4 linked regions of the Elephas maximus indicus genome follow. The protein of the gene in region 2 purifies or fractionates together with the protein of the main gene of each other region. This does not show direct contact. Links are inferred from orthologs where the notes say so. Each region holds a gene or a part of one and is shown on either strand. Other genes may lie near its edges. The genes, in order: PRPF3, MEPCE, SNRPN and SNRPD3.

The links.
Region 1: the proteins of MEPCE (region 2) and PRPF3 purify together in Homo sapiens (affinity purification with mass spectrometry; 4 studies listed by BioGRID and IntAct, counting the BioPlex papers as one, with this or other methods). This does not show direct contact. The link is inferred for Elephas maximus indicus from reciprocal best matches to the Homo sapiens genes MEPCE and PRPF3.
Region 3: the proteins of MEPCE (region 2) and SNRPN purify together in Homo sapiens (affinity purification with mass spectrometry; 3 studies listed by BioGRID and IntAct, counting the BioPlex papers as one, with this or other methods). This does not show direct contact. The link is inferred for Elephas maximus indicus from reciprocal best matches to the Homo sapiens genes MEPCE and SNRPN.
Region 4: the proteins of MEPCE (region 2) and SNRPD3 purify together in Homo sapiens (affinity purification with mass spectrometry; 3 studies listed by BioGRID and IntAct, with this or other methods). This does not show direct contact. The link is inferred for Elephas maximus indicus from reciprocal best matches to the Homo sapiens genes MEPCE and SNRPD3.

Annotation. Positions count from the first base shown.
Region 1 is NC_064821.1:184,451,455-184,458,564, reverse strand, and holds the start of PRPF3 (U4/U6 small nuclear ribonucleoprotein Prp3), read right to left. Parts: upstream 3,006-7,110; 5' UTR 2,900-3,005; intron 1-2,899. UniProt on the Homo sapiens protein: Plays a role in pre-mRNA splicing as component of the U4/U6-U5 tri-snRNP complex that is involved in spliceosome assembly, and as component of the precatalytic spliceosome (spliceosome B complex).
Region 2 is NC_064830.1:91,844,856-91,852,180, forward strand, and holds the start of MEPCE (7SK snRNA methylphosphate capping enzyme), read left to right. Parts: upstream 1-4,323; 5' UTR 4,324-5,422; coding exon 5,423-7,120; intron 7,121-7,325. UniProt on the Homo sapiens protein: S-adenosyl-L-methionine-dependent methyltransferase that adds a methylphosphate cap at the 5'-end of 7SK snRNA (7SK RNA), leading to stabilize it.
Region 3 is NC_064831.1:99,699,303-99,706,136, reverse strand, and holds the start of SNRPN (small nuclear ribonucleoprotein-associated protein N), read right to left. Parts: upstream 3,012-6,834; 5' UTR 2,923-3,011; coding exon 2,920-2,922; intron 2,075-2,919; coding exon 1,923-2,074; intron 545-1,922; coding exon 433-544; intron 10-432; coding exon 1-9.
Region 4 is NC_064840.1:23,012,583-23,019,930, forward strand, and holds the start of SNRPD3 (small nuclear ribonucleoprotein Sm D3), read right to left. Parts: upstream 3,006-7,348; 5' UTR 2,879-3,005; intron 1,359-2,878; 5' UTR 1,341-1,358; coding exon 1,215-1,340; intron 1-1,214. Other genes in the region: protein GUCD1, read left to right, coding at 3,123-3,333. UniProt on the Homo sapiens protein: Plays a role in pre-mRNA splicing as a core component of the spliceosomal U1, U2, U4 and U5 small nuclear ribonucleoproteins (snRNPs), the building blocks of the spliceosome.

The sequences.
Region 1 (7,110 bases), on a different chromosome or scaffold from region 2:
TGGGAATTCTGCACCAGACAATTCTCTCTCATGTTCTACCCGGTCTCTGACAGCTGACTTGATCAGAGTAATCCCTCAGCTAAGAAACAAATACTCTCATTCTGGGTGTACTCTCTTTTTCATCTCTATTCTACTTTTTAGCTCAGCAGAGAAAACACTATCATAAAGGACTCTTGCAGGACAAAAAAAAACTTGGTTTGGCACTTTGTTTCTGAAAATCACCCGAGTAATCAAGATGCCTTTGTTTTCCAAAACAGCCTGGCAAGCTTCACACCTGGCAAACTAACTTCAGGAAGGGAGGAGGCACTGATGCAGTGATGCATATTAACTGATTAGATGATCACAACTATGCATTAAGACCCATGCATATTCATTGAGTCCCCCTGGGACTAGGGGACCCAGGACCTTGGAGTGCACTCTTTGGAGTCTCCCAGATTGGTGAGAATGTCCATGAACTGGAGAAGGTGACATGTCCCTGGGGACTATATTAAGACCCATGCATATTCATTGAGTCCCCCTGGGACTAGGGGACCCAGGACCTTGGAGTGCACTCTTTGGAGTCTCCCAGATTGGTGAGAATGTCCATGAACTGGAGAAGGTGACATGTCCCTGGGGACTATATAGGCCCTGCGCCAGGACCCTTCCCAGACCTTTACTGATGTGTCTCTTTGCTTGTATCCTTTCTGGTTCTAATAAATGGGTAACTGTAAGTATAGGTGATAGTCTCTGTGAACTTTGTGAGTTGTTATACAGAATTAATAAACCCACAGGGGCAAGGAGTCAGTCTGTGTAGTCCCAGCTTTGGGTGGCTGGTATTCATGGAAAGGCTGCATGGGCAATTGATGAAAAAGAGTAGAGCTCTTCTAGCTTGTGACCTAGTCCCAGTGGACTAGACAGAGAAAGAGGGAGGCATACTGGTCTGAAGTGCAGGGAACTGTGCAGACTCCTGAGCCTACGGCTGGTCCTCTGTGACCTGGCCTTAGGTGTCCAGGGATGTTTTGACTGGCTCAGGGTGGCTGGGGACGGGGTCTGATCTAAGCCTGAGTGGTCAGAGTCAGAGAGAGGAAGTGTCGTCTGAAGTAGCTGGTCATGAGTAAGGTTTGCCCACCTTGCCCCATTTATAATAAAGTTCGTAGAGTCGGAGTTGTTGCAGCTCTCCACAACAAATCTTTAACTTATTAATGTAAGTTAGTTTATTTTTAAACCATCATTCATGTTTACATTTCGGTCTTCTACCTAATCTCAAAACTCCTCATGAACATAGACAAAATTTTATTTCTGATTCTTCCCATTGCGCTTAGAAAACAGTGAATATACTACACTGACCTCAATTTCCAAGCTAACCTCCTCCCAGCAGCACCACGCATCAGGGTCTGACCTGGACGTTCAAGATGTTTTAAGATGTCTTTTCTCTTAAAAGATACAGTCTGAATAACTTCTGCATCCTTGGTAGATTTACCTTCTATAAGATCTCTAGCCAAACAGTGAACTGGTATAACCAAAATAAGTTAGTAGATTACAGTCATGAAACTAAGAGAGAAAGGTTGTATAAAAGCAGAGTATGTGTTTCAGTAACAAGTTAAATGAATAATTCCATGGTGGCTCTATTCTCTCACAATGAGATAGCAGTATAGCCTATCAACATCTACACGTTGTTGTTGTTAGGTGCCCTCCAGTCGATTTTGACTCATGTGACAGAGAACAGCCCCATAGGGTTTTCTAGGCTATAATCTTTACAGAAGCAGACCTCCAGGTCTTTCTCCCAAGGAGCCACTGGGCGGCGGGGGGGGGGGGGGGGGTTGGAACTGCCAACCTTCCAGTTAGCCAGGTGCTTAACCTTTGTGTCACCAGGGCTCCTTCATCTACATATTAATTGTCCATTAAAAAAAAAAAAAAGATTGGAGGCATACCAAGGTATCACAAAGGGTACATATCTTTGGGTGTGAGAGTGAAGAAAAAAGCTCAGCAGGACAGAAAGAAACTGAACAGCTGGGATGCCAAACCCCACATTTACCAGTCCATTAGCACGTGGGCAAATTAGTTAATTCCTCTGAGCATTAGTTCACTCATCTTACAAAATAAAGACAATTGCCATATTTCCATCATACTTAATTCATTCAATAGATATTTCCTGAGCAACTTCTAAGTGCCAAGCAGTGTACTGGGCACTGAGCATACAGCAGTGAACAAAACACGTAAGAATTTTCACCTTAACGGAGCTTACGTTCCACTACAACTGAATCATAGGCTAGAAAGCAGAAGCAATTTGAAAGCTCCAAGCAGTAAGTGAGGTACCGTTATTATTAGAAGAAACGCACGGCCAAGCACTATAATAACAAATGTATTCAAGTTCAACCCAATCCTCCATAAAATGATGTGCAAACGAAACAGCTAGTAGACAAAAATAAAAATTTCAAAGAGTACCTGGCTTTACCACTAGACAAATATACATTAACTACGTGTGTGGGGGTAGGGTTTGGGGTGTGGAAGGAAGAAGGAAGAATGATTCCAGCATGAGCAGGTAGCAGATTCCAATCTTCTGAAGGAATTCCTTACTCTGTCCTCTTCTTTGCTACAATCGGAGTTTCCCCTGAAATCCTCATTCTTCTGTTTTTAGTCTTTCCCCACCTCTTTTGGCGTAAACTCCAACCGACCCACTATCACACCTAGTTATACCCAAAGTCTTCAGCTCAGAGCTGGTCTCCCCACCCCGTCCCCTTCTCGCCCCCGCCCTTTGCCTCTCAACAATCCCACTGCAACCTCGTCTCCCACACAACCTGTGCTTCTCTCAGCCTCTTTCCCGCTGAGCCCCCTAACCCGGTCCTACTCTTGGGCTGAGCCCTGACCCCAGTCGCTCGGACCGGAGAATACTCTGTCTGGGCCCGGGGCCACTACTCACCTCACAAACTTCAGTCCCTGAGACGGAGCCCGAACGTTACACCGGAACCGGAAACCCTCCGGCCGCCGCACGACTTGCCGTCGCTACCGCCACGGCCGCCGCCACGCCGCGGTCCCCGACATGTGACGAGGGTGGGCCGGGCCGCCGATATGCGCAGCCGTAGTTGCCACTTTGCCGGCGGCAGGGCGCATGCGTGGCGAGTGCCAGTTCCTCGCCTTCGGTTTCCCTTGCTAAAGGATTCGGATATTTATCTGTTCACTAGATTATTGAGAAGAAGTTAGTTCCCTGAAGCGGAAATGGGACTGCTAGCAGTTTTCTTCGTGTGGAGTGTAAGTGCGCTAAGCTAAAGTTAACTGAAAGAGGGACTTCTGCGTTTGGCTCAAACACGGCCTTTCCGGTAGAAGGTAAACCCTCTGAGTAAGTTGGGATCACTGGCATTCGCTACCCGTCCTTAGCTTTTCCTCCTAATTTACAGTCGTGCCAGAGATCACAGGGAAGAAACACGAGTATAGAAGGACTCGGCAGAATGTAGCCCTTTGTTTAATTAATTAATTAACAGAACATTCGTTGACCGCCTATTACTGTAAGTGGTGCCGGCACCCTCTGAGAGTCAGTAAATCAATGATTTAGGAGCACGGGCTCTAAGGGCAGACTGCCTGGATTTGTATTCCAGCTCTCCCACTCATTAGCTGTATGATATTAGTTACTTAAGTCCTCTATTTCCTCACCTATAAAATGGGATACCTTTAAAAAAAGAATTTCACCTCACAAATGAGTAAATGAGGGTAATACACTTAAAACAGTGGTTCTCACAGAGTTCAATAAATGGTAGCTACAAACATATGTACATGAAAAAAGATGAGTAGAGGACTCTGAAGAAGTAGCCCCCCTCCATGCCTTTCATTAACAAAACGAGTATCATTCGCTGGTAGTACGCAATTGGCTAATGTCTCTTTCTATAGATTTCCAATTGCCTCTGTAAGCATAGAGAGCGATAGTGGTTCAGTGGTAGAATTCCTGGGTTCAAATCTTGGCCAATGCACCTCATGCACAGTCACCACCGGTCTGTTATTGGAGGCTTGCATGTCACTAGATGCTGAACAGGGTTCAGTGGAGCTTCCAGACAAGACAGGCTAGGAAGGAAAGCCTGGGTACCTATCTCCAAAAGTCAGTCAGTGAAAGCTCTATGGATCACAACTATCTGACCGTGGGACGGCGCACCACCGGGAAGGGTTTAATTCCGTTGTGCGCGGTGTCATCATAAGTTGGGGGCCAACTCAACATCAGCTAATAGCAACAACACGTAAATGTATTAAAAAGAAAAAGAAAGCCATTGCCGTCATTTGATTCTGACTCATAGCAACCCTACAAGGCAGGGCAGAACTGTCTCATCGGGTTTCCAAGGAGAGGCTGGTGGATTTGAACTGCCAAACTTTTGGTTAGTAGCCGTAGCTCTTAACCACTGTGCCACCAGGGCTCCAAATGTATAATAAACATCTCAAACTCAGCATGACGATAATAAACTGAGTTTATCATCACTCCCCCCATTTAGGGGTACTCAAATGTAAACTCCACGAGGACAGGGATCTTTGTTTTCTTCACTGATACAGCCTAAGTGCCTGCAACACCACCTGGCACAATTAAATACTTAATGTTTGAATTAGAGGATCCCTGGGTGATGGAAACGGTTTGCTCTCAACTACTAACCTAGAGGTTGGCTGTTCAAACCCACCTAGCAGCACCAAGGAAGACTGGCCTGGCAATCTGCTTCCATAAAGATTACAACCAAGAAAACCCTATGGAGCAGTTCTACTCTGTAACACATGGGAGTCAACATGAGTCAAAAATCAAGTCAATAGCAGTGGGTTTGGGCTTTCTTGGTTTATTTAAAATCAAAGGCCAAATCTTTTTCAACACTTGGTCTTATAGGCCCCAGCACCTACTGGTCTATTTTTTGCCTAAAGGATGGAATTTCCTTCAGGACGGGAATTGTACCATGTCTTTTGAGTCCCAGGATCTATGATAGTGCCAGACCTTGTAAGTAGTCAATAAATAAGACCTGGCAGTACTGCTCTCTTCATTCTGTCAATAAGCTTGTATTCTTCCCCTTCTTCCAAATGAGGCTCTAAACCTACTGACCCTTTAAACCAATGACTCTAAAAGCACGTGTGGGAAAAGTGTAGTTTGAAAAAGTGTGTCTAGTATTATGACACAATCTCACATATGAGAAATGAAAATAACAATCTATTTCCAGATTCAAACTATAGAAATTAAAAGTCCATGATGCCTTCTTGGATGGTAGGCTCACCAGAAATTGCAGTTATTCTCTAGGAAGGTTATGATCAGAATTTCCCACAGGGCATGAAATCTTCATATCTATAGGCTGGTTTTTAAAAGTGAGAAATACCAAAACTAACCTTCCCTGATGGGGCAGCCTGGCTTTGAGTAACAAGCTGGGAGAGCTTGAACATGTTGCTCAACTTAGTCACACCAGCATCCTCATTGTATCTACAGCACCTAAAACCAATGTCTCACTCATAATACCCACTCAAAAAGTCTGTTAAATGGGCCAATGAGTTCCAACTTTGCCCAGTAGTTATACATTTTTAATTTTGTTTCAGTGTTTTTAACAGTCTGGGTTGAAGTCCCACAGGGAAATTTTTTTCTAGGAACTCACTTCCAATTTTTGGAATCAGATAGATTTAAATCCTTTGTTTCCCAGTTACTAGCTGTGATTCGTTGAGGCAATTATTTTCTGAGGCTGTTTCCTTAACTATAGAATAAGAATAATCATCTCTTTTCCCAAAGGGTATTGTGAGGATTAAAGGTATCATGAAACATTTAGTACAGTGCCTGGCACATGGTAAGCCTCAATAGATAACTGCAATTGTCATATATTCAAGAAATATTTATTGAGGATCTAAATGCTGGGCATTATACCAGGCAAAGGAAATACAGTGGTATAAAGGCAGACCCATATATATTACAGAAATAAACTCGAGATGCAAAAGGGAAAACAGCACCTGATAAAGGTACCAGGGAAGGCATCTCAGAGAATACCCAGTTTGAGAGCTGAAGAACAGAAGAGGAGAAAATAGCATGTGCTGTGATCCAGAAGTATGTCTGATGGGGCAAATGGCTACAGAAAAAGTATGATTCAGTGATGAGGAACCTTAAATGCCACAGTCTGGATTTTATCTTGAAAGCCATGCGGAACCAATTACCAGCTTAAGCAGGAAAGTGACAAGATCAGGGTTGCATTTTAGAATAATCATTCTGGCTAAACTATGAATGGACTGGAGCCAGGCAACACTGAGGCACCGAGACCAGTCAAATGACTGTAGTAATCCAGGAAAGTTATGATGGTAGCTAGTATTAGAGTTGTGGTACAAAGTTACAGAGACAGCTGGAAGAGATTACAAATAAACTGGTGTTGGTGATGACTGGGAGCCCTGGTGGTGCAGTAGTTAAGAGCTTGGTTGCTAACCAAAAGGTTGGTAGTTTGAATCCAGCTGCTCCTTGGAAACCCTGTGGGGCAGTTCTATTCTGTCCTATTGGGTTGCTATGATTTGGAATCAACTCAATGGCAATGAGTTTGGTTTGATGACTAGGTGAAGAGGAGGAAACAAGGATCTACTTTCTGGCTGGCACAACTGGGGGATTATTATTAATTGCTAACATTTGAGTTCTTACTATGTGCCAGATACTGTTTTAAGTCTTGACATGTATTATTTCATTTAACCCTCACAAGCCTGTAAATACCATTATCCCCTTTTACAGGAAAAACAAGGGTTTATGTTGAACAACATAATTACAAATCCAGATTTTTTTTTTTTTTTACTAAGCAAAAGATTATGTATGTAGGGTAGCTGCACATAGTGCACGCTCCAACATTTTCTTTTCAATTACCTACATTAACACATCATTCCTATAGGACCCTGTAGGACAGGCTACAACTGCCCCATAGGGTTTCCAAGAAGCAGCTGGTGGATTCAAACTGCTGACCTTTTGGTTAGCAGCCAAGCTCTTAACCACTGCACCACCAGGGCTTCTGTTAGTATATAAACCAAAACCCACTACTGTTGAGTCGATTCTGACTCATAGCGACCCTATAGGACAGAGTAGAGCTGCCTGATAGAGTTTCCAAGGAGCACCTGGTGGATTCGAACTGCTGACCTCTTGGTTAGCAGCCATAGCACTTAACCACTATG
Region 2 (7,325 bases):
TTTCACTGTGTCCCCTAAGTATCTTTGGCATTTTATAACATACATACATTACCACTTCAAAAAATGACTTTTTAAATTTTAAATTCTTTAAGTAAAATAAAAAAAGAGTATTTTAATCAACCTAAAATGCAAAACTTTCCAATATTTAGGCTCAAAATCTTATCTAATCCTGTACAGACCTATCTAGGCTAAAGTGTGCTTCTGGAGCCCCAACGAACTAGATAAAATTATGGATCGTTGTTGAATTAATAAGATGTAGTAAATCTATAAGAAGTGATGTATAATTAAAAAAATAATAACAAGTTGCCCTTGAGGACATCCAATTTCTTAGATTTAGAAAATCTATAGAGGGTTGGCTGTACAGAGACTACAGGCAGATTTATTTTATCAGCTAGTTTGCTGTTTTTATTTCATCTCTATTCTCTCTCTAATCCTTCTTCTCACTGTACAAGAAATGTTAATGGCATTTCAGTTTCTTTTGGTCATCTGTTAGATTCCATGTGACCTCACTCCCATGTGGCCTTACCTGATCAGATGGGGTGTCTACACCTGACCCAAGGGCAACTCATTGAAAACATGAGTACAACTAATTAGAGTACTTTGTTGGGAATTTAGAATTTGCAAAATTGAATACTAGAGTTATTATTGTTGGGAACTCCAGGCAACAGGTGAAGAGCAGTGTGGTCAAGTAGATCATGCAGGGTCAGAAGAGATGGAGCCATACATGCACGTGTAAGTGAACAGGCAGAAAGACAAACTGCAAAGGAGAATGGAGCATGCGGGAAGAGAGGATGAGAGACAGAAGAGGGACAGAATGAGAGGAAATAAGAGTGAATGTACACTTTTGGCTCCCAGTCCCTGGTCTCTGCTCTCTTGAGGTCAACTACACTTCAGTCTCTTTCTTTTGGTCTCTGTGAGATTCTTCTGAATCCTTGCAATAAACATTTTGTTTCTTATACCGAAAAAAAAAAAAAAAGTTGTCCTTGAGTTGATTCTAACTCACAGCGACCCCATGTGTATCAGAGTAGAACTGTGTTCCATAGGGTTTCCAATGGCTGGTTTTCCAGAAGTAATTGCCAGGCCTTTCTTCCAAGGCACCTCGGGGTGGATTCAAATTTCCAACTTTTTGGTTAGCAGCTTACTGCATTAACCATTTGCACTACCCCTTAATCTAGATTGGGGGTATGATGAAGAACATTACTTTTAAAGAAAAGCTCTAACCTGATCCAAAGAGAATGGAAAGCCAGAGAGTCACTTTCTGACACTGTTCCTCTGTTTCAGACGAATTCTTCCACAATAACAAATATTAAAAGCTAATAGAGAGAGAGAGAAAAAATAGACAGTTGACAAATATACAAAATGACTGTAGGCACTAGACTCCGGAATAACATTTGAGGTTTTAATTTGTTTTCTCACCTTAGATGAAAAGGTAAGGAAACAAAAAAATTCAACAAGGCTTTATGTAAGAAAGTAAAAGAACCAGGATAGTTCCATAAACACAATCTCACCCACTCGACATATAAAAGAGGGTGAATAAGCAGAGGGAAAGAACTTACAAAGAAATAATAAAAGAAGGGTGAATGAGGCTCTCCAAAAACTAGAAACAGCTTTCTTTCACTTAGAACACTAAAAATTATCACATTCATTTCTAAATGAAATCACCTAGCGTGGCGGTTCTCAAAGTACGGTCCAAAGACCCCTGGGAGACTCCTCCCTTTTCCAGTTATATATCTGTGTTAGGTTGGATTTTCTCATATACTTCAACCAAAACAAGATGTCAGGTTGAATACGGAAACATGAGAATCCAGCTGTCTTCTAATAAGGCAGACACAAAAGAGATTTGCAAAAATATAAAACAATGCCATTCTTCAAACTAAATTTTCTTTTGTTTTGGAAAATGTATTTTTCATTAAAAATGTTAATTATGGTAACATGTAATGGGTTTACGGAGCCCTGGTGGTGCAGTGGTTACAACCCCAGGCAGCTAACCAAAAGGCCAGCAGTTCGAATCCAGCAGTTGCTCCTTGGAAACCCTATGGGGCAGCACTACTCTGTCCTATAGGGTCGCTATGAGTCAGAATCAACTCGATAGCAACAGGTTTGGTTCCTTTTTGGTTAATGGGCTTATGATTGTTATTTTTAAATTAATTATTAAGTAAATATTTTTAAATTTTCTATTTTAATTTCTAGTATTTCAATACGAATAGTTATAAACCATATAAACAAAAGCTTTCTGGAGTCCTCCACAATTTTTAGGAGGACAAAAAGGTTCTGAGACCAAAAAGTTTGAGAATTGCTCTAGCTAAATAATTCAGTCTTGCAACATTTCTCAAAAAACTTTAATCCTCCTCTACCCCATTTAGAATGTGCTCAAAATTTACAAACAATAAAACTGTTCCCTCCTTATATTATGTCTGGAATCCTGGGTCTAAAAGAACAAAGGTAAACCTTAGAGTTGTCCTCTAACACACACTCCAGAGCCTAAAAGACATTAAAAAAAAAAAAAAGAAAAGCCTATATTTAAAGCTTCTTTAAGCCTGAGTCTAATTTTCTTCAGCCTGTATGTCTAATGGCATGTGTACTCCTGCTTATTTTCATGCCTGGATAACTAGTACTGGTTTTTATCTCTTTTTGTGCTCAACAGGCATGATCTGAAACAAAACTTTTTAACAAGAAAGAAAAAGAAACAATAAAGATTCCAGCTACCCTTACTGACCATTATACATGTAACAAGGTATTTACTGTCGCATCTAATAGTACCTGCCTGAACTAAACTTTGTACAGAATCTTATAAAGAAATTAATGGTGAACTAAAACCTCCTGATTCAGAGAGTGCAAGAGAGCACAGACATGGCCACTTACCATGGCCACTTATCACCAAAAGAATCTTTCGGGGACTGCTGATATCTTTTATATTCTTCCTACCACAGACGCACACATTTCCCAAACTGGTACCGACCTCAAACTAGCATTGTTGTACTTAAAGGAGCACATCCCCGTAAAACTCCCAGATCCCCACACCATTGCCCCTCAGAGGGTGTCAAGGTTTGGAACCGAAAATGCCTAATTCCCCCTTGAGAAACCAAAGACAAGAACTTTGAAGGATCTGTATTTTTGCTCTCTCGCCTCACCAATTTCTCTCAGGGACAGCAATGAAGACCTGACATATCGCACAGTTAAATATCCTTAACTCTCCTCAGAAAGTACTGTATAGTGGCTTTCTAGCCTCTCTTCCACATCAAGAATCCTACCAGGAGGGAATTTCTCCTCAGCTAACCCTACTGCTGAGGTATCAGGATTCTTATTCCCGCTCAGATCGTCGTTGCCCCCCATTACACTGTGGCATTTTTGTTTGTGTTGAGGGTGAGGTTCAAGTTAGATTCTAAAGCGGAGGGGTAAGAGCTGGTTGTCGCCCTGAAGAGACAGCTTCTCCTCAGACAACAGGTACTGGGATCGCCCGCGCCTAGCAACTGCATCTGCAACCTAAGAAGAGTCTAATACCTTCTAGAGCGAGGAGCACCTAAAAGCAAGCAGTAGAGTGAGCACCTGCAGCGATTATGCAAGCCCCTACAACCTGGATCCAGTTTTCCCGCCACGAAGAAAAGGCGCGAGGACGCGCACAAGCTCCACCCCCCCAGCGGCGTGCTCACGAGGCCGAAGCGCATGCGCAGCTGAAAACGGCTTCTGCGCTTGCGCGCGAATTATTGCCGCCATTTTCCAATCTGTAAAACTACAAGTCCCATAATGCTCACTGCTTCACCCGTGTTTTAGGAGGCGGTAGCAGCGCCTGATTGTTCCTGAAACACTTCTTTCTTCTATTATCTTTCCTTCCCACTCTGCCTTGTCCTTCTTCTTTGCTTTTCCTGATGCCTATTCTTCCTGTTAGGCCCCTTCACGACCTTATTTTAACACTTTCAGCCTATCCTTAGCCCCACTCTCCGCCTCTTCTCAGCCATAAGACCTGCATCCCCAAGCACTCTGTTGGGAAAGAAAACGGGCCACCTATCACCCTGTGGAAAGAGCGTCAAATAACTTTCCCTCATTGGCCGAGACAAGGGGCCCCAAAGCAGGCCGATTCCTCTTCTCCGCCCACACACGTTTTTATATAAGGCGGCGCGAAGCCGCAGCGTGCGTTTGGGAAGGACTGCGTGCGAGGTGGTGTTGGTGGGTGTACTGCTATTGGTGGGTGTACTGCTATTGGTGGGTGTACTGCTATTGGTGGCTGTGGTGGGCGTCGGGCTGGTGGGCTCGTGCGCAGGCGTCGGATGGCGGGCGGGGGCGTTGGTGTCCGGACTGTGGGTGTGGAGGCGGAGAGGAGGGCGGGGTGTACCTAGGTGATCGCGATTGGGGGAACGCGGAGGAGCGAGAACCACTCAGCCATTTCGGCACAGGAGGAAGTTGGAAAACCTTGGCTTTTTTAGTGTTGTTTTTCAGTCCAGCAGAGAGTATTTTCGGGGGAGGGGGGTGAGTTAAAATGATCTATTGCATATTACTGAGAACAGTTCGTAGGAAGGCGATCAGTACACTCCGATCCTTCCCTTCCTCTACCTTTAGGTTCACTCCTCGGCTCCCTCTGAAGCCCTAAGGGGATGGGCTAAGGGGGCAATTCGTTATGAATAATTCATGAGCCCGCCCCTTTTCTTAAGAAGCCACGCCTTTCCGAGCTGCGCTGACGCACGTTGCGTGTCCCAAACCTGAGGAAGCGACGTAACAGTCCCCGCCCATAGGACGGAGGGCGGGGTGTCGTCTCCAGCACGTGCTGCTTCTACCCGCGCAAGCCCAAAAGGGTGTGCGCAGGCGCTTCTCACTAGGGGAGGAAGGAGGCGGGGTGGGGAGGTTGTTGGGTTGAGCGCCGGGCGGAGACCGCTGAGACTCATTCCTCAGGAACAAGGGTCGTGTGTGAAGGAGACCTTTTCACACCAGCTCCCCGGCCCCCGCCTACGGTGGGTGGGATCGCGCGGCAGAGACAAAGGATATCAGTAGGGACGGACATAGCCACGAAGGGAAGTAGGGTGTCAGCTTGGGGCGGTGGGTTTTTGGGGGGCTAAGGGAGAGACTATATTTAAACTCCCTGGAGCCGTTAAGTTGGTTCGTACTCCGATGCGCGCGCAACCAGGGTGGTGGCGGTGTGCGCATGCGTGATTCTGGGGCCAGGGGAACGCGCTTAAGTAGTGCGCGCTCGCGATTAGGTGGTAGTGGTGGAGGAGAAAGGGGTCGGCGCAAGCGCGGTTGGTTTCTCGAGTTCGGGTCTCGCGGGCTTCTTGTTTTGGTCTCGCGGGCGAGCAGGGAGCGAGACTAGGCGAGAAGAGCAGAGCTGCGTGCGCACTCGGGAAAGGGGGGAAGGGAGCAGGGTCTAGGAAGGGGGGTGAAGCCCCCTGATCCCCCCTCGTTACCCTCGGCTGGGACGGAGTAAGGGGAGGAAATGATCGAGATGGCAGCGGAGAAGGAGCCGTTTCTGGTGCCGGCCCCGCCGCCGCCGCTCAAAGATGAGTCGAGCGGAGGGGGCGGCCCCACGGTGCAATCGCACCGAGAGGCCGCCTCCGGGCACCTCCGCGGCCGGACAGAACGCGGGCCGGGCCCCCGCGTACAGTCGGCGGGGGCCCCGGCTTTAGGGGTTGGCAGGGAGAGCCCCGGAGCTGCATCCGCCCCTCGAGCGGGCCAGTCGCAGCAGCAGCAGCAGCGAGGGGGCGGCCCCCAGGCACAGTCTCACGGGGAGGCCCGCTTGTCGGATCCCCACGGGCGGACCGCTCACTTGGACGTGGGGGAGGAGCGACGGGGAGGGGGCGGGCCAGAGCTGTGTACCCCTGCCCCTCCTCGGCCTCGTAATGGCTACCAGCCCCACAGGCCCCCTGGGGGGGGTGGAGGCAAGAGAAGAAATAGTTGTAATGTGGGGGGAGGTGGCGGAGGCTTCAAACATCCGGCCTTCAAGAGGCGCAGGCGAGTTAATTCGGACTGTGACTCTGTGTTACCCTCCAACTTCCTACTGGGGGGCAATATCTTTGATCCACTGAACCTGAATAGTCTTCTGGATGAGGAAGTGAGCCGCGCACTCAATGCAGAGACCCCTAAGTCATCCCCACTTCCGGCCAAGGGGCGTGATCCAGTGGAGATCCTCATCCCCAAAGATATTACTGACCCCCTCAGTCTCAATACTTGCACTGATGAGGCCCAAGTAGTTCTTGCCTCACCACTCAAGACTGGTCGGAAGCGGCATAGACACCGGGGACAGCACCATCAGCAGCAGCAGGCATCTGGAGGAAATGATAGCCACTCCTCCGTGCTTCCCCCAGCCCCCCTCACTCCTTCACTTCATGGGGAGGGCGCCACGCAGCAGCAGCAGCAGCAGCAGCAGCAGCAGCAACGGCATAGAGGCCAGAGCCGGGATGCCCCGCAGCCCTATGAACTCAACACAGCCATCAACTGCAGGGATGAGGTGGTGTCTCCCCTTCCAACTGCCCTACAGGGTTCCACAGGCTCCCTTTCAGTCCCTCCAGCTGCCTCAGTTACCCCTGCACCCCCGTCTTCCTCCTCTCGACATCGCAAACGTCGCAGGACTTCCAGCAAGTCGGAGGCAGGGGCCAGGGGTGGAGGCCAGGGTCCCAAAGAAAAGGGCCGAGGGAGTGGGGGAGGCCGCTACCACCACCACCCTCTCCCTGCAGCAGGCTTCAAAAAGCAACAGCGCAAGTTCCAGTATGGGAATTATTGCAAATACTATGGGTACCGCAATCCTTCCTGTGAGGATGGTCGCCTTCGGGTGTTGAAGCCTGAGTGGTTTCGGGGCCGGGACGTCCTAGATCTGGGCTGCAATGTGGGCCATCTGACCCTGAGCATTGCCTGCAAGTGGGGCCCATCACGCATGGTGGGCCTGGATATCGATGCTCGGCTGATCCACTCTGCCCGCCAGAACATCCGACACTACCTATCTGAGGAGCTGCGTCTCCCACCCCAGACTCCCGAGGGGGACCCAGGGGCAGAGGGTGGGGAAGGGACCACCACCATCCGGAAGAGAAGCTGCTTCCCAGCCTCGCTGACAGCCAGCCGAGGTCCCATTGCTGCACCCCAAGTGCCCCTGGATGGAGCGGACACATCAGTCTTCCCCAACAATGTTGTCTTCGTCACGGTAAGAGGGTCTTAAGTGCATTAACTCCTCACTAGGAGAACCAGATCCTCGAGAAGGGTCTGAATTAGCGAGTGAGTGCCTCCACTGGGTGTCTCTCCCTGCCTGTAACCTGGGAGAGGTGGGGTCTCTAACCTGGGGTCCTTTCTCCTGACTGCAGTTCTCTTTCCCAAGACAGTGGTTGACTCGTTTTGCCCTGCTTCCAGCC
Region 3 (6,834 bases), on a different chromosome or scaffold from region 2:
AATGCCAGTCTGAAACAAAAGTTTACAACTTGAAACCAAATTCTCAATTGTCGTAATCTCTCACTCGTACACTGATTAACTTCACCCTGTTCCCATTCCACCTATCTCATTTTGGTTCTTTACTCAAAGGAAAAAATGGGCAAGTGCACCTTGGAGACATCTTGCAGATGCCTAGAACGTACATTATATTTGTCAAAACATGTATGTTTATGACCATAAAATGAGAAAGTAAATAAGCAACTGCTATGCTTATCTAGGTACTACACGGTGCGAAGAATAATTTATCATAAAACCCTAATCTCTAAATACAAAGAACTGACATCAAGTGCTAAGCACGTTTTAATTGACGAAGATGTGCTGTACTGTGCCTCTCTCATCTCCAATAAAGCAATGCTCTTCCACATGAAAGTTCCATCCTACCCTACATCTTACATCTTTGGGGGGTGGCCCCTCCACAGTCATGGAAACCAAGTTCTCCCCACGCAGCAACACCAGACCCAAAACCCGCTTTTCTTCACGCTCTGGCTGCTTTGCATTCTTTGGCCTACAAATCAGAAGCAAATTTTCGTGAAGTAAGTTAGTATCTCTAGCTCAAATTATTTTACATAACTTACATGTGTATCACAAAGTAAAAATTAAGACAATAACTGATGCCAAGAATCTTATTTAAACATAAGACAGTCACTGAGCTGTGATAAAATTAACACCTAGACTCAGCTGATATGCAAATACTAGGTACAGCAAGGTGAGTGCTGAAGCTCTTCTATTAAGCTTCAGCCCTTTAAAGAATGTTCTCTAGATATTACACTTCAGCAAAACTAATTTCTTCATTGTAAAATAAATGCAATGACACAGTAAGCCTTTTAAAACAGTCAAAACTGAAACCTAACTCTATATAATTTTAAGATGGGCAATAATTTCTAAATCATTTTTTTAACTAGGTAAATCTTATTGACATATCATGGAACTGAAATAATGAATAAGACAGTAATAGGCAAAAGAGGGCATACAAAATGGTAAGGAAGTACTTGGAATCAGAGACACCTGTGTATTCCTGAGCTTACCATTTACTGTGTAACTTTGGAAAATTAAATTCCTATCCTAGTTTCTTCAAATGTAAGCAGGAAAAATCAGATTAATGTCTACTGCATACATGTATGGGGTTTAAACCGCATTGTTTTTTTTTTTTGTGTAGGTAAAAGGAACCATTACAATTACAATGCCATTTAATAAATCCCATTAGGTATTACCAGAGAATAATGCAAGCTGAAGCATTAACTAGGTATAATTACTCCCACGACTTGGTCAGAAAGGAATGAAAAACAGAAACTGAGAATATGCCCGAAGCTCTCAAATACCTTCTTTGTTATTTATCAATATCATAAGGGTTTTTTAATGCTTTTTAGTATAAAGGTGGTTTAAACAAAAAAAGTAAAAATAAAACTGAGGCATCCACCATCCTAGCACTTCTGGAATGATCGGCCTTGGTACAGGAAGGAGACTGGAAATAAATGAAAGGGGGACGACAATGAAAATGTCATGAATTCTGTTCATTCAAATTTAACTGAGAAGAACTGTCCTCAACAAGCACAAGGAGTCAAACATCACTTTTCCTCATTATTTTAAAACCCAGGAAACCCTGGTGGTGTAGTGGTTAAGTGCTACAGCTGCTAACCAAAAGGTCAGCAGTTCGAATCCGCCAGGCGCTCCTTGGAAAGTCTTTTTGCAAATTAGAAATAGTTCTATGGCGATAAAAACTTTGAGACTGGGAGCCTCTACAGCTATTTGAAGATGACACCGAAGGGTTAGAAACTTTTTCCCTACCTCCTTCAACTACCCTCTATAATCCCTTACTCCTGCTCTAGCCTTGGCTTCCCACTGCCTCTACCTGCATATTCTTTACCCAAACAGGTCTTTCTTACTTGATCTTCCTGAACTCATCACAATCACAAAGGATTAAGTTCATATGCTTGTCAAAGGCCTTAAAGGTGCCAATGAAGATTCGGCCATCTTGCAGGATACATCTCATTCTATAGTCAATGTGCTGCAGCATCTTACTGCTCTTGCCCACGGTCTGCAAGGAGTAAAATGAGAGTCAATAATCAGCTTGTTCACAGCCTATTTTTCTATGCCACTTGGGTTTCTTTCCCACTCCTATACCAACCTGAAACTGACTTCTTTCGCTGACCAAATCCCTCCACCTTTCCCCAATTTCCTTCACACCTACTCAAGACAATAGTCTACATTTGAATCCAGTTCCCCTCTATAGCTCCATCATTCTAATCCCATTCCTTTCCCAAATCATGGCCAAACTTCACCCTCTCACAGACACTTGACCCTATCTCTTTTCTCTCCTCTCCAAGTTTTGTTTTTTGCTTCTGTTTTTACTATTAATAGGGTAGAGTAGTGGTTAAGAGCTTGGCTGCTAAACACAAGGTTGGCAGTTCAAATCCACCAGCCACTCCTTGGAAACTCTATGAGGGCAGTTGTACTCTGTCCTTATAGGGTTGCTGTGAGTCGGAATCAACTCTACACCAACAGGTACTAATAAGGTTAGGATACTGTATCTTTCTCCAGACTGCTTTCATCTATACTAACTGAGCCCCAAATTTCTCCATTTTCAAAGTAGATGTTACATATACTGTAATCTGACCTAACAGTCTACCTTCAAATGGTCTCTTACAATTATAATCACAACCAAAAACTCTTCTGTATTTTCTCACAGCAAAATGGTTTGCAATCCTTTTCACTACTACAACATGAACATCACACATTACTTATCTTCAGCCACTACCCTAATTCAGTGAGAATCCATTTCTACAAACTTCTGATTTTTAACATTCAGAACCCAAAATCAACCCACACTCTGGCAAACCCTTAGAGCAGTTTACCACCCCTCTCTCCTAATCTTCATCTTACCATGATTGCTGTTCCACCAAATCCAATGTCCTCACAGTAAAGTTTCTGGAACCTTAAGACCTAGGGGAAGGCTACAGATAAAGGTATGACGTGGTTCTCCTATAAACAATGCCAGCTGGGAAGAAGCTTCAAACAGCAGACGGAGCCTGCGGAGGAGAGCATGTTCAAGCTGCACCACCATCTACCATGTTTACAACAGGCAGATAATTTTGCATGAAAACCACAAAAGACATATTCAAAAATATTCCTACTCCCATGTTCCCACAACCACCAAGAAAAAATTCACTATTCCCTCATATTAACTATCACATTTGACAAAACTCATTTAATTTTATTTTGCCTAGAAATGTGCCAAAAATCAGCTTCATTATCCACTCCCAAAATTTACTATTTTCTCTTTCCATCCTTATTTAAGCTACTGATTCATTTTTTTCTCTGGTCTAAAATTAATACCGAGTCACCTCTACATCAACATCTTGATAATCAAGTTTCTCCATCCCAACTACCCCTAAGTTAGTTCAAACATTCACGGTTGGTTGGTTGGTTGTTTTGTTTTGTTTTGTTTTTTGGCCATACCACCTAATAACTCACTTAAATGTTCTCAATTGAAATGTTCCCTCACTCCCTACAGCTCCATCAAAATGATGTTAGCTAATCTTTATTTACCAAGAGCCAGGTTTATTACTACATACCTGCTTCAGACTTCCTACGTCAAAAGGGTGCAAACAACTAATTGTCGATATATCGGAATACGGCAACTTCCATAGTCACCAAAGAAACACACACTTTAACAATAAGCTATCCTTTTCCCTGTTACTCTAAAAATGCGCCTTCCATATACGGCTACGAAATCTAGGCTGAACTGGTTATAACAAAGCCTCAAGCTGTGACTTATTAAAAAAAAAAACCATAGACATACTTTTTAACAGAAGTTTAGGTTTATGCATAAAAGAAGCACAGCATTAGAAACAAAATCTGATATAACTACTTTTAACAAGGCAACCATTTCCAATAATATTATACCTTCATTGTTTTCAATACAGAAATACTAAAATCAAGAAAAAGTAAGCTGGTTATCTATGTCATGAATTGTACATGTGAACAGGACTGAAATGACAGCTGTTTTATTTTGCCACAATAAAGAAAAAAGAAACTGGTTACATATACAAGTTAAAATTAATTAAAGTGTGGTTACAAACTACAGAAACATCAAAACAATACAGAGAAATAATGCTTTGAGGACACTGTCACGTGGAGCTATATGGTAACAGAACAGAAGAGAATGTAGTATCAAAGTAAAAGTTCACTAATGGTGATGAGATGCAGGAAAGATGCTTTCCTTCTCATTTCCAAAATTTTACATCTATTAAATAAATTTTTATGACAACTCGGATTGCCTAAACAAATTCCTGATGTTGCTTCTTTTTGGAACATTTCCTGCAAGATGATCTGTCCATATCTTAACGCATGGTCTGACTAATCTCTATACACACCTCTTCTCCAATCAACCAGGCTTATATTCTCAAGAGTGTAAGAATTATGTCCTTCCAGACACTTCAATGCCTAGCACCCAGGAAGAATCCAATATTTGTATGAATTAACGTTTTACATGAACCTTATACTTAAACGAGTATACTAATCAGCAGCCTGAGGACCCTCAAATGCAGTATCTGACGCAAACTCGTTTAAAGCCTACAACATCTTTGTTCTGAATATTGCCTTAAAATTCTTTATAATGCAGAGTCCAAACACCACCACCTATATATAAAACTCAATCCTCCTTTTCTTCTTAAATACAGCACGTTTTTTTTTTAATTCTTCATTTTTATAACCCTGTATCTATTAAGTCCTGGGACCCTGAGCAAACCTAGAGACAAAGTAATAGATGAGTGGTTGTCTGGTGCTGGGGGTGGAAATGGGGAATGGCTGAAAATAGGCATGATGGATCTTAATGAAGTGATGGAAATAGTCTAAAATTACCCTGTGGCAATTGGTGCCCAAAGATGTAAATTAGCTAACAAGTCTAGATTTATACATACTTCTGTGAAATATCTAGAATAGGCAAAAGCAGAGACAAAAGTTTATCAATGATTACCAGAAGTATGAGTGAGGGAGGATTGGGGCATTATTGCTTAAGCGGTACTGAGTTTCTGTTTGGAGTGAGGCAAAACATTTTATGGATAGTGGTGATGGCTGCACAACATGGTGAATAAAATTTATGTCACTGACATATATTTAATAATGATTAAAATAGCAAATTTTGTTATATATATTTTATCACAATAATATCATACAAACAGTTGGTAATTTTATGGTATTGAAAGCTATGTATCAAAATGTTTTAAAGGGTTCAATAAGGTCAATAACTTAAAATAATGTACAAAGTTCAAACTATTACTTTCATATGCCACTGATGGGGGAAAAAAATCAGCACAACCACCGAGACACTATTCCTTGACCACGCTCCCTTGCCGCCAACAATGGAGACATACTACCAGCGTGCCACAGAAAAGTTATTGAAAGAAACCAGTAGAGCTGGATATAGCTTTTCTAAGACTAAATTTGAAAGACAAAAAAAAAAAGTAACCACAGAAACCTTTAAGGTTTTTATTGAGTAAGAGGAAACCCTGGTGGCGTAGTGGTTAACTGCTATGGCTGCTAACCAAGAGGTCGGTAGTTCGAATCCACCAGGTGCTCCTTGGAAACTCTATCGGGCAGTTCTACTCTGTCCTATAGGGTCACTATGAGTCGGAATCGACTCGACGGCAGTGGGTTTTATTGAGTAAGAAAAAGTAAACTGAGGCACTTGACTAAAGTAAAATGGCTGCTTTAGCGTTCAGGGTCCTACTCCATCTTGCCTTTAAGATATGCAAACCCCTAACTTATTCTTTAAGGCCTATAACTAAATGTAAACTAAAGAAACCTTTTTCTTTTCCCCCTTTTCTCTGTGGTTAGGAAACCCTGGTGGTGTAGTGGTTAAGAGCTACAGCTGCTAACCAGAAGGCCAGCAGTTTGAATCTACCAGGCATTCCTTGGAAACCGTATGGAGCAGTTCTACTCTGCCTTATAGGGTCACTATGAGTTGGAATCTACTCGACAGCAATGGGTTTATCAAGACCCTTCCTGAAACAATGTCTCAGGAAGAAGACCTTGATGCTGACTCTCTTCTGGGTCTCCTAGGCAACTACTGACAAGAAAAATTTCACTTAAGCCAGGTGTTTCTAGTAGAAAAAGGACCTGTAAACCTCCACAGCCCCCACTTTCAGTAAACCCACCTTGCGTTAATCTAAGTTTGTAATGTCCAATCAAAATAGTGCACCTCAAGTTCTTTGTTCTCATCCTTTAAAAGTTCTCTGCAGCTTCACTGTTTTGGAAGTATTTGTTCACTCTGTAAAATCAGACGTTTTATCCAGGCCAGACTGTTAATGAACCACCAATAAATCTCCTTTCTTCAACAGAGTAAGTGTTTACTACGCTTAGACATAAAACAGCACCCGAACAGGCTCGGAGGCATCACCTTTTGTAATCTCCTGGGACATCACCAAATCAGACCTCTGTGCCACAGGGGTATCTTTGTGCTGTTCCATTTTTCTGGGGTCCTGACATTGTCACTCCAGGTAAATAGCCTCTGGAGCTGAACTCAGCCTTTTTGCATTGAGTTTCTGAAGAATTATGATTGGTTTTCTATCTTCTGCTGTCTGAAATTGATCAAACACGTAATAAAGATGCACTGATAATTACTAGTGATTGTAACTGAAAAAGTTGAAAACAAAGAAGTACTGGTAGTTGGAGAACTGGCCTCGGTGACAGAGATCTCATGATACACTTTTACAAGAATGAATTATTCATTGCAAATACCTTTATTCAACAACAAAAATGGTGACAATACATGTGGACCTCACTGAATGGAATACT
Region 4 (7,348 bases), on a different chromosome or scaffold from region 2:
GAGGCAGCACACCAGCTGCCGCACACACAGCTCATCGGGTCCTGACAACAGGCCATGGGCTCAGGCTTATTCTTGTGACAGCCCTGAGATGCTCAGATCTCTCTTTGAGGGAGAACAGGCTGTGAGGAGTGCACGGAGCTGATGGCCTCTGGGTGTCACACCTTTGAGACCCACCACTGCATAAACCCCAAGGCTACTCTCCCCAGACTGCTCCTACGGCAGGGGTACGAGAGCCAGGCCATTTCTGTCCCATGCCAGACTCCTCAAATGAGTCATCTATGCTTGGCTATGAATCATCCTCAGAGCTACAATGTAGCCCCAGGCTCTTCCTACTCGATCCTTTCTTCCCTCTATTCTTTCACCAGTGTTAGGCCTGCACGACAGACTGTGGCTCTCTTGCCCACTCCTGCTTCCTCTCTTTTCTCCTGTCACTTCCTCCAATAAATCTCTTGCATATCTAATTGTACCTTGGTGTCTGTGCCTCAGATGGCCCGAAATAACATCACCCCTGTTTTACAGATGAAGAAACTGAGGTAATTAATATACCTGAGGTTATACAATTAGGATTCAAACCCATATTTCTTTGATTTCAAAGTCCATGCTCTTAACCGGCTGTTTTATACTTCGTAAAATGACTCTAATATCACGATTATGAGAAAAAGGGCAAATTGTGTCATGGGAATTGAACCAGATCAGGAGGCTATGCCATCATATACTAATGGAGTGACATTTAGTAGACGAATCCTATTTTCATAGATGACAAAACTATTACCAAACCTGCCTACCTCACAATAACTGATGCAATAATCAAATGGGACCCCTTCTCCAAGAAGATGGCAAGTAAATACAGCATGTGAGTAGGAGATGCTACTAACTGTAACATGTCATGCCTTAATAATGGCCTTGAACCTGAAAGGAATAGTGTCATTTATCTCAAAAAGCCCCCAAAATATGGGAGAAAATGATTATGGAATGGAGAAAACAAAGGACAAGTAAATATTCCAAATTTCCAAACACCATTTCTGCCTCGAGACAGTAAGTCTCTTGCTCATGTCCACATCCTGAGTACCTGTAAGAGGGCCTGGTACTCATAAGGCACTCAGTAATAACTGTTGAAAGAGACCAACTTCAAGAAGGCGCTCTAGTCACCACAGTTTTGTCCTCCAACACAGGCTCACATTATCCCCTTCAGTCTCATATGCAAAGCAAGGTACCTGGCAGTTCATGTTGTCCTCTGCCTCGATGAGCTTCCCCCGATATACCTCACCGGTGTTCGTCTCACATGTCACAATGTGGCCCTCAGCCTCATGCAGAACCTTAATCGGCACACCAATAGACATCTTGGCAGGAAGAAAACTCTGCAGTGAGAGAGACAACAGTTAGTTCATCTTTCAGAACCAGAACAGGCATATAGCATGCACATGCCTCCTTCAGGGCCTAAAAACCAAAAACACCAAACCCAGTGCCATCGAGTCGATTCCGACTCATAGCGACCCTACAGAACAGAGTAGAACTGCCCCATAGGGTTTCCAAGGAGCGTCTGGCAGGTTCAAACTGCCAACCCTTTGGTTAGCAGCCGTAGCACTTAACCACTACACCACCAGGGTCTGGCACTCCATAAAACTTAGCTGTATTTCCTGAGCTATTGAAAAAGGTGTTTAGCTCCTTTGGAAAAAACTATCTGGCAAACAGTGCAAGATGAGGGGTAGGGTGAAAAGTGGGGCTGGGCAGAAAAGGCTAAGGGGAATGAAGAGAGTGCCTCCCGTCTCCCTCCTCACTACCAGATCGCTTTATCTTCTCCAAATGACCATTAGCCAATATTACAGGAGGGAGGGGAGTGAATGCATGTACTGTACAAACGTACCTGCCAACTCACTGCTGTGGGCGACTGCACTTTGAGAACCTACGATACAGACCCAAGCTGCCCAATACAGTGGCCACAGTCCACATGTAGCTACTTAGAACTTTAAAAAGATGAAATACGACTAAAATTTCAGTTCCTCAGTCACATTAGCAATACTTCAAGTGCTCAAAACGCCACAGGTGCCTAGTGGTTACCACAGTGGACAACGCAGACCAAAAGATCCACCAACAAATTTAGGAGGAAGTTATGCTTTTAAGTCAATCTATTTAGTGTCCCATGGCACCCCATTTACATCACCACTGAAGCTAAAAAGAAAATATCGAAGAGTTCACAAAGTGACATGCTATAAGCAAAAAGGTTTATCTTATAGAAAAAAGCCAACCAGGGCAAGCACCTGACTGGACCTATTAAAAGAAAAAAGCATCAAACATTTTTAATCTGCAATGAACAAAGGCTGAAGACTAGAACAGAAAGGGATTCCAGGAGACTCAACGCTACCCCGGAAAGGGACCATGAAGTTGGAAAAGTTGGTTTCCTTTGGTGAGAATCCCTGAGTTCTAGCTTTAGGGGTTTGGATTTTATGCTGAAGACAGAGAGAACCACTGCAGAATCATGCGAAGAAATGACCCAATGAACACGTAGCAGCATTTAAAACTTCTGCAACAGCGTGGAAAGCAGGAGATGATCCGAAGTGAAAAAACCTTGAAAAGGAAGCTCCAAACAAGATTTGGGGTAAAGGAGGTAATCACTCAGAAACGATTCCAGTATTATTTTCTGGATACTGAAAAAAAAAAACAATGACATGGAGAGGTGTACAAAAAGGATAAATATGTAGTTTTGGAAGGAGCCAATAAACCCACTTCCAGGCGCGAGTGAGGTGACGCTACTGCCCCGGGCTTCTCCCTCTCCTCCCTCCCAGGGGCCCGCAGAACTTCAAGGCAGCGCGTCCTTCCCCAGCCCCGGCCCCTCACGGGAGCCTCGGCCTCCCGTCACCCGTCCCCGGCCTCTCCTCACCGGCTGCGGCCTCCTCTTCCACTTCTTCCGTGGACAAGCGACTTCAGCAGCACCGAAAGCGTGAGCGAGCGAATGGCGGTCCCGCGCTCCCAGAAGACCCCGCGTTCCCAGAATGCCGCGCGCGAGGCCAGCCCCCTTCCTTTCTCCGGTGGTGGGCGCTGTCTCGCCTCGGCTGCCTCCTCACCCAACCGGATGGGAAACGCGGGCTGTGGCACTATAGTTCCGGCCCCGAAAAAGCGTGCTGATGACAGGGCCTGGGTGCCGCCGGAAACACCGATACTCGGGCCGGCAAGGGGAAAGGGGAGCTCGCGCTTCCAGGCACCCCACACCAAGGCCGAGTTGGACGGCAAGGCGGAGATGCGGGGCCTGGGCTCTCGGATCGGGGGCGGCAGGCTGTGGGACTAAGCGCCAGGACCTGCCCTCGCAAGTTAGCCGTTGGAACCCGGCACCGCCCGGTAAGGAGCGCCCCGAGCGAGGCGAGGTATCCATTATATGGACAGGGAAACTGAGGTATAGAGTAGTCGGAGTAGGGTTGGGTCTCCTGGAGACCCGGCGGAACAAGGGGCAGGCCAGGGATTATACCTGAGGGAGGCCCACAGGGGCGGAGCCTGACTTAAGGGAGAGCGCCAGCCTTCGGGGCGGGGCTCCAAGAAAGGGGTGGGGCTTCCGGGGATCCGCGGGGACGGGCCTGTGCGTCGGCGCAAGGGCTAGGGAAAGGGGCGGGGTCAAGAGAAGGCGAGACAGCGAATGGCCGGGGCAGGCTTCGATCAGGCGGCTGGGGAACGGAAGGGACTGGGCCTCCAAGCCGGGGCCCAGGTGGGGGCGGGGCGTCCGGGGCCGCTGCCAGGCAGGGCTGGGGCGGGGCTCGGGGCCGCGGACCGTCGCCTTCTGTCCCCTCCGCGGACCAGACGCGCCGCCGCCGCGCTCCCGCCCCAGCCCGAGCGGTAGCCTGCGCCAGGTCGGGGCCATGGGCGCCCCGCGCCGCCCGGGTCATGAGGACGGAGGCGGAGGCAGCGGGACCGCCGCTCGAACCCGGTCAGTGCCTCCCCAGGGCCTAACCCTGGCCCCGGGGGACGAGGGTCCGGCCGCGCGACCTTGGGCGGACTGCCGCCTGGGCAGCGCTCTGGAGTTCGGACGGGACGGGGCCAGCTGGACACCCCGCCCCAGCCCCACTTGCCAGTCGGGGTTTCATTGTCCTCCCGGAGCTGAGGCCCCTGTCGCCCGGCCGTGGGGCGGGGTGGGGCCGGTCCCGGCTGTGAGGCGGGGCGCCACCTTGCCTAGAAGCGGGAAGTCCAGCCGGAGACGCGTGGAAGATGTGTCCCCTCGGGGAACTGTGGAGGACGCTGAGGCTCAGAGAAGGGCAGGGGACTGGGCGGGAGCACAGAGCGAGTGCGCCCCTTCTCTTCCCCTTCTCAGACTGTGGTCAGCTCTTTTCTTGCTACATGTCTTCACCCTTGGTTCCTTCTGCCCTAAGGGGGCCTTTTGGGGAAGCAGAGGCCACTACTGGTGGGGCAGTGCCGCGGCCTGAGTTTGCTTGTCTGAGAAGGGGATAGTGGGGGAGTGCGGTGGTTCCTGCTCTGCTGAGAAGAGGTGCCAACTCAGGGAGAGGCCAAAGCATATGGGACTGGCCCTGAGCTGTCATGGATGGTGTCCTCACACGAGGGAGGGGTCGCCTTTGTTATTGCAGGGTGGAGCAGGGGTCTGATGCTGCCGCAGAGTGTAGGCCCTGCTCTCCAGTTAGCTCAGCTACGCTCTTGGGCAGGACATTGCCTTTCCTGAGCCTGAGCGAGTCCCGGCTCATATTTATAGGGGGTTTCCTATGAGGTGGGAACTGTGCTGAGTGGTGTATGTGCAGTACCTCGTTAATCCTCATGATGACCTCATGAAGGAGGCTACTGCTGCTGTTATTCCCAGTTTTACAGATGAGCAGACTGAGGCTGAGAGGTGGTGAGCACCCAGGGCCACTGAGCGCCCTCCCTTCTCTGATGACAGCTGCCAGCTGATGCCAGGGCCCTCCAAGCAGGCCCAGCTCTTGGGGTGTTCCTTGGTGCCATGTATTAACATCTGGTAGTGGCTGTGGGCTTGAAGGGCTGAAGCTGTTATCAGGACAAAAACCAAGGTCTTGCCTGCCCTTATCATCCTTCCACCCACCACACGCAGAAAATCACCTCCAGCTTTCTATAGAGTGGCCTGCCTGGGCCAAGGCTGGGGACAGCCACCTGGGGTTTTGGCCCTTTGGGGCCTCAGGATCAAGGGTTCTGGAGCTCAGGGCATGAGGAGGAGGGGTAGCTAAGACTCCCAGGGCCCTAGAGAATGCTGCCAAGCATGGCCACAGGGGAGGTCTGGCCACAGATGGCCTAGCTGGTGTGGCCAGAGCTGGTGCCAACCAAAGTAGGGAGGCAGCCTTAAGCAGAGGGCAGTGGTCTGGAAGCCTGGGGGCAGGAAATCATTGCAGTGACAAGCAGCCCCAGGCATCTCAGGAAAATGCCTTCTCTTCCCCAAGTATGGAGAACCCTGGTGGTGTAGTGGTTAAGTGCTACGGCTCCTAACCAACAGGTCAGCAGTTCGAATCTGCCAGGTGCTCCTTGGAAACTGTATGGGGCAGTTCTACTCTGTTCTATAGGGTCGCTATGAGTCAGAATTGACTCGATGACAGTGGGTTTGGTTTGGTTTTGGTTTTCCCCAAGTATGTCTGAACACCTGTTCGGGGCAGAGGTTCCCTGCCTGCCACTGAGGTGTTCTCAGGCTGTTGGCTGGCGAAGGTGGGTGTGACCTCAGGTACTCTACACTGAGGCCTGGAGGGGATCGGAATCAGAGTATCCAGATGTTCAAAGATGGGAGGAACGGTGCAGACTAAGGCACCCTTGAGTGCAAAGGCTAGGCATAAACAGCCTGTGCAGAGAAAAACAGGTGGTGTGTGGCCACAGCGAGGGGTGCTTGAGAAGGGAGGCACCTTCCTTCCTCCATGATTGTACAGCACCCTATATAGAGCTTGCACCCTCCCCTCAGCCCATGTGGGGCATACTTATTTTAGAATATGAGTCTTCAGAGGCAGGGCTTAGTCTTAATCACCCGTGTGTCCCCAGAGCCTGACACACAGCGAGTGCTTAATAAGTTCATTTCTTCCAACAGATATTGAGTTACTCCTAAGCATCAGGTACTGTTACTGTCGTTAATGGCAACCCCATGTGTCACAGAGTAGAACCACTCCATAGAATTTTCGTGGCTGTAATCTACACCAGGGAACCCTGGTGGTGTAGTGGTTAAGTGCTACGGCTGCTGACTAAAATGTTGGCAGTTCGAATCCACCAGGTGCTCCTTGGAAACTCTATGGGGCAGTTCTTACTCTGTCCTACAGAGTTGCTATGAGTCGGAATCAACTCAACGGCAGTGGGCTTGGTTTTGGATTTTTAATCTTCACCGAAGCAGATTGCCAGGTCTTTCTTCTACAGTACTGCTGGGTGGGTTCAAACCACCAACTTTTCTGCTAGCAGGATAGCACAAACCATTTCCGCCACCCAGGGATCTTAAGCATCGGATGCCAGGTACTGGGAATAACAGTGAACAAGATGAGGTGAGGTATTTTCCCTCAGCAACCATACAGTCTAGTGGGGAGACAGATAATAGTTTTTTTTTTTTTTTTAGTTTCGTTTGATAAGTACCATGTGAAACAAAGAGGATGCTATGAAGGAGGGTCCCCCCTTTGCCCTCAAAAGGTATAGTCAGGAAAAGCTGCTCAGAGGAGACTTTGAACTGGGACCTGATGACAAGCAGTAGCAGCCTTGAGAACAGCCGGGGGAAGAGAGTTCTAGGCTAGGGCACCCTGCATGTGCAAAGACCCTGGGCAGGATGAAGCTTGATGGGTTCACAGAGTAACTGCAGCAGGGTGAATGAGGCTGGTGGGGCCTGGGTGGGCAGGGCCACAGGAAGAGGAGAGGACTCTAAGAGCATTGGGAAACTGCATGGGATTCCCCAGGCAGCTGTGTGTGGAGACAGAGTTGGGGCTGGGGGAGGAATTTGGGGTGAAGGACAGGCAGGAATCAGGCAGGACTAAATCCGTGGAAGGAGAAGGAGGCAAGCATGTGAGAACCTCAGGCAGAGGCCTGGGCTCCTTTCAAAGGCACCTGGGGTAGACGTGGAGCTGCTGGGGTGCAATCAGTATATGCACTTCACTGCTAACCAAAAGGTTGGAGGTTCGAATCCACCCAGAGGTGCCTCAGAAGGGCTGGTAATCGACTTCTGAAAAATCAGTCACTGAAAAGCCCATGGGCTCAACGCACCAGGCCCTAGCTGGGGGTAGGGTCAGGGCAGCACCCGTAAAGGGCTTTACACATATTCCTGCCTGGGTGCTCACAGCACTCTATGGGCTGGGGTCTGTGGTGGCCGTTTCACAGAGTAGGCAGGTCAGGCGGCTCAGCAAGGGGGCGGTGTGTGGCAGTTTGGCCTCCATGCCCTGCTGCAGGCCAGTGG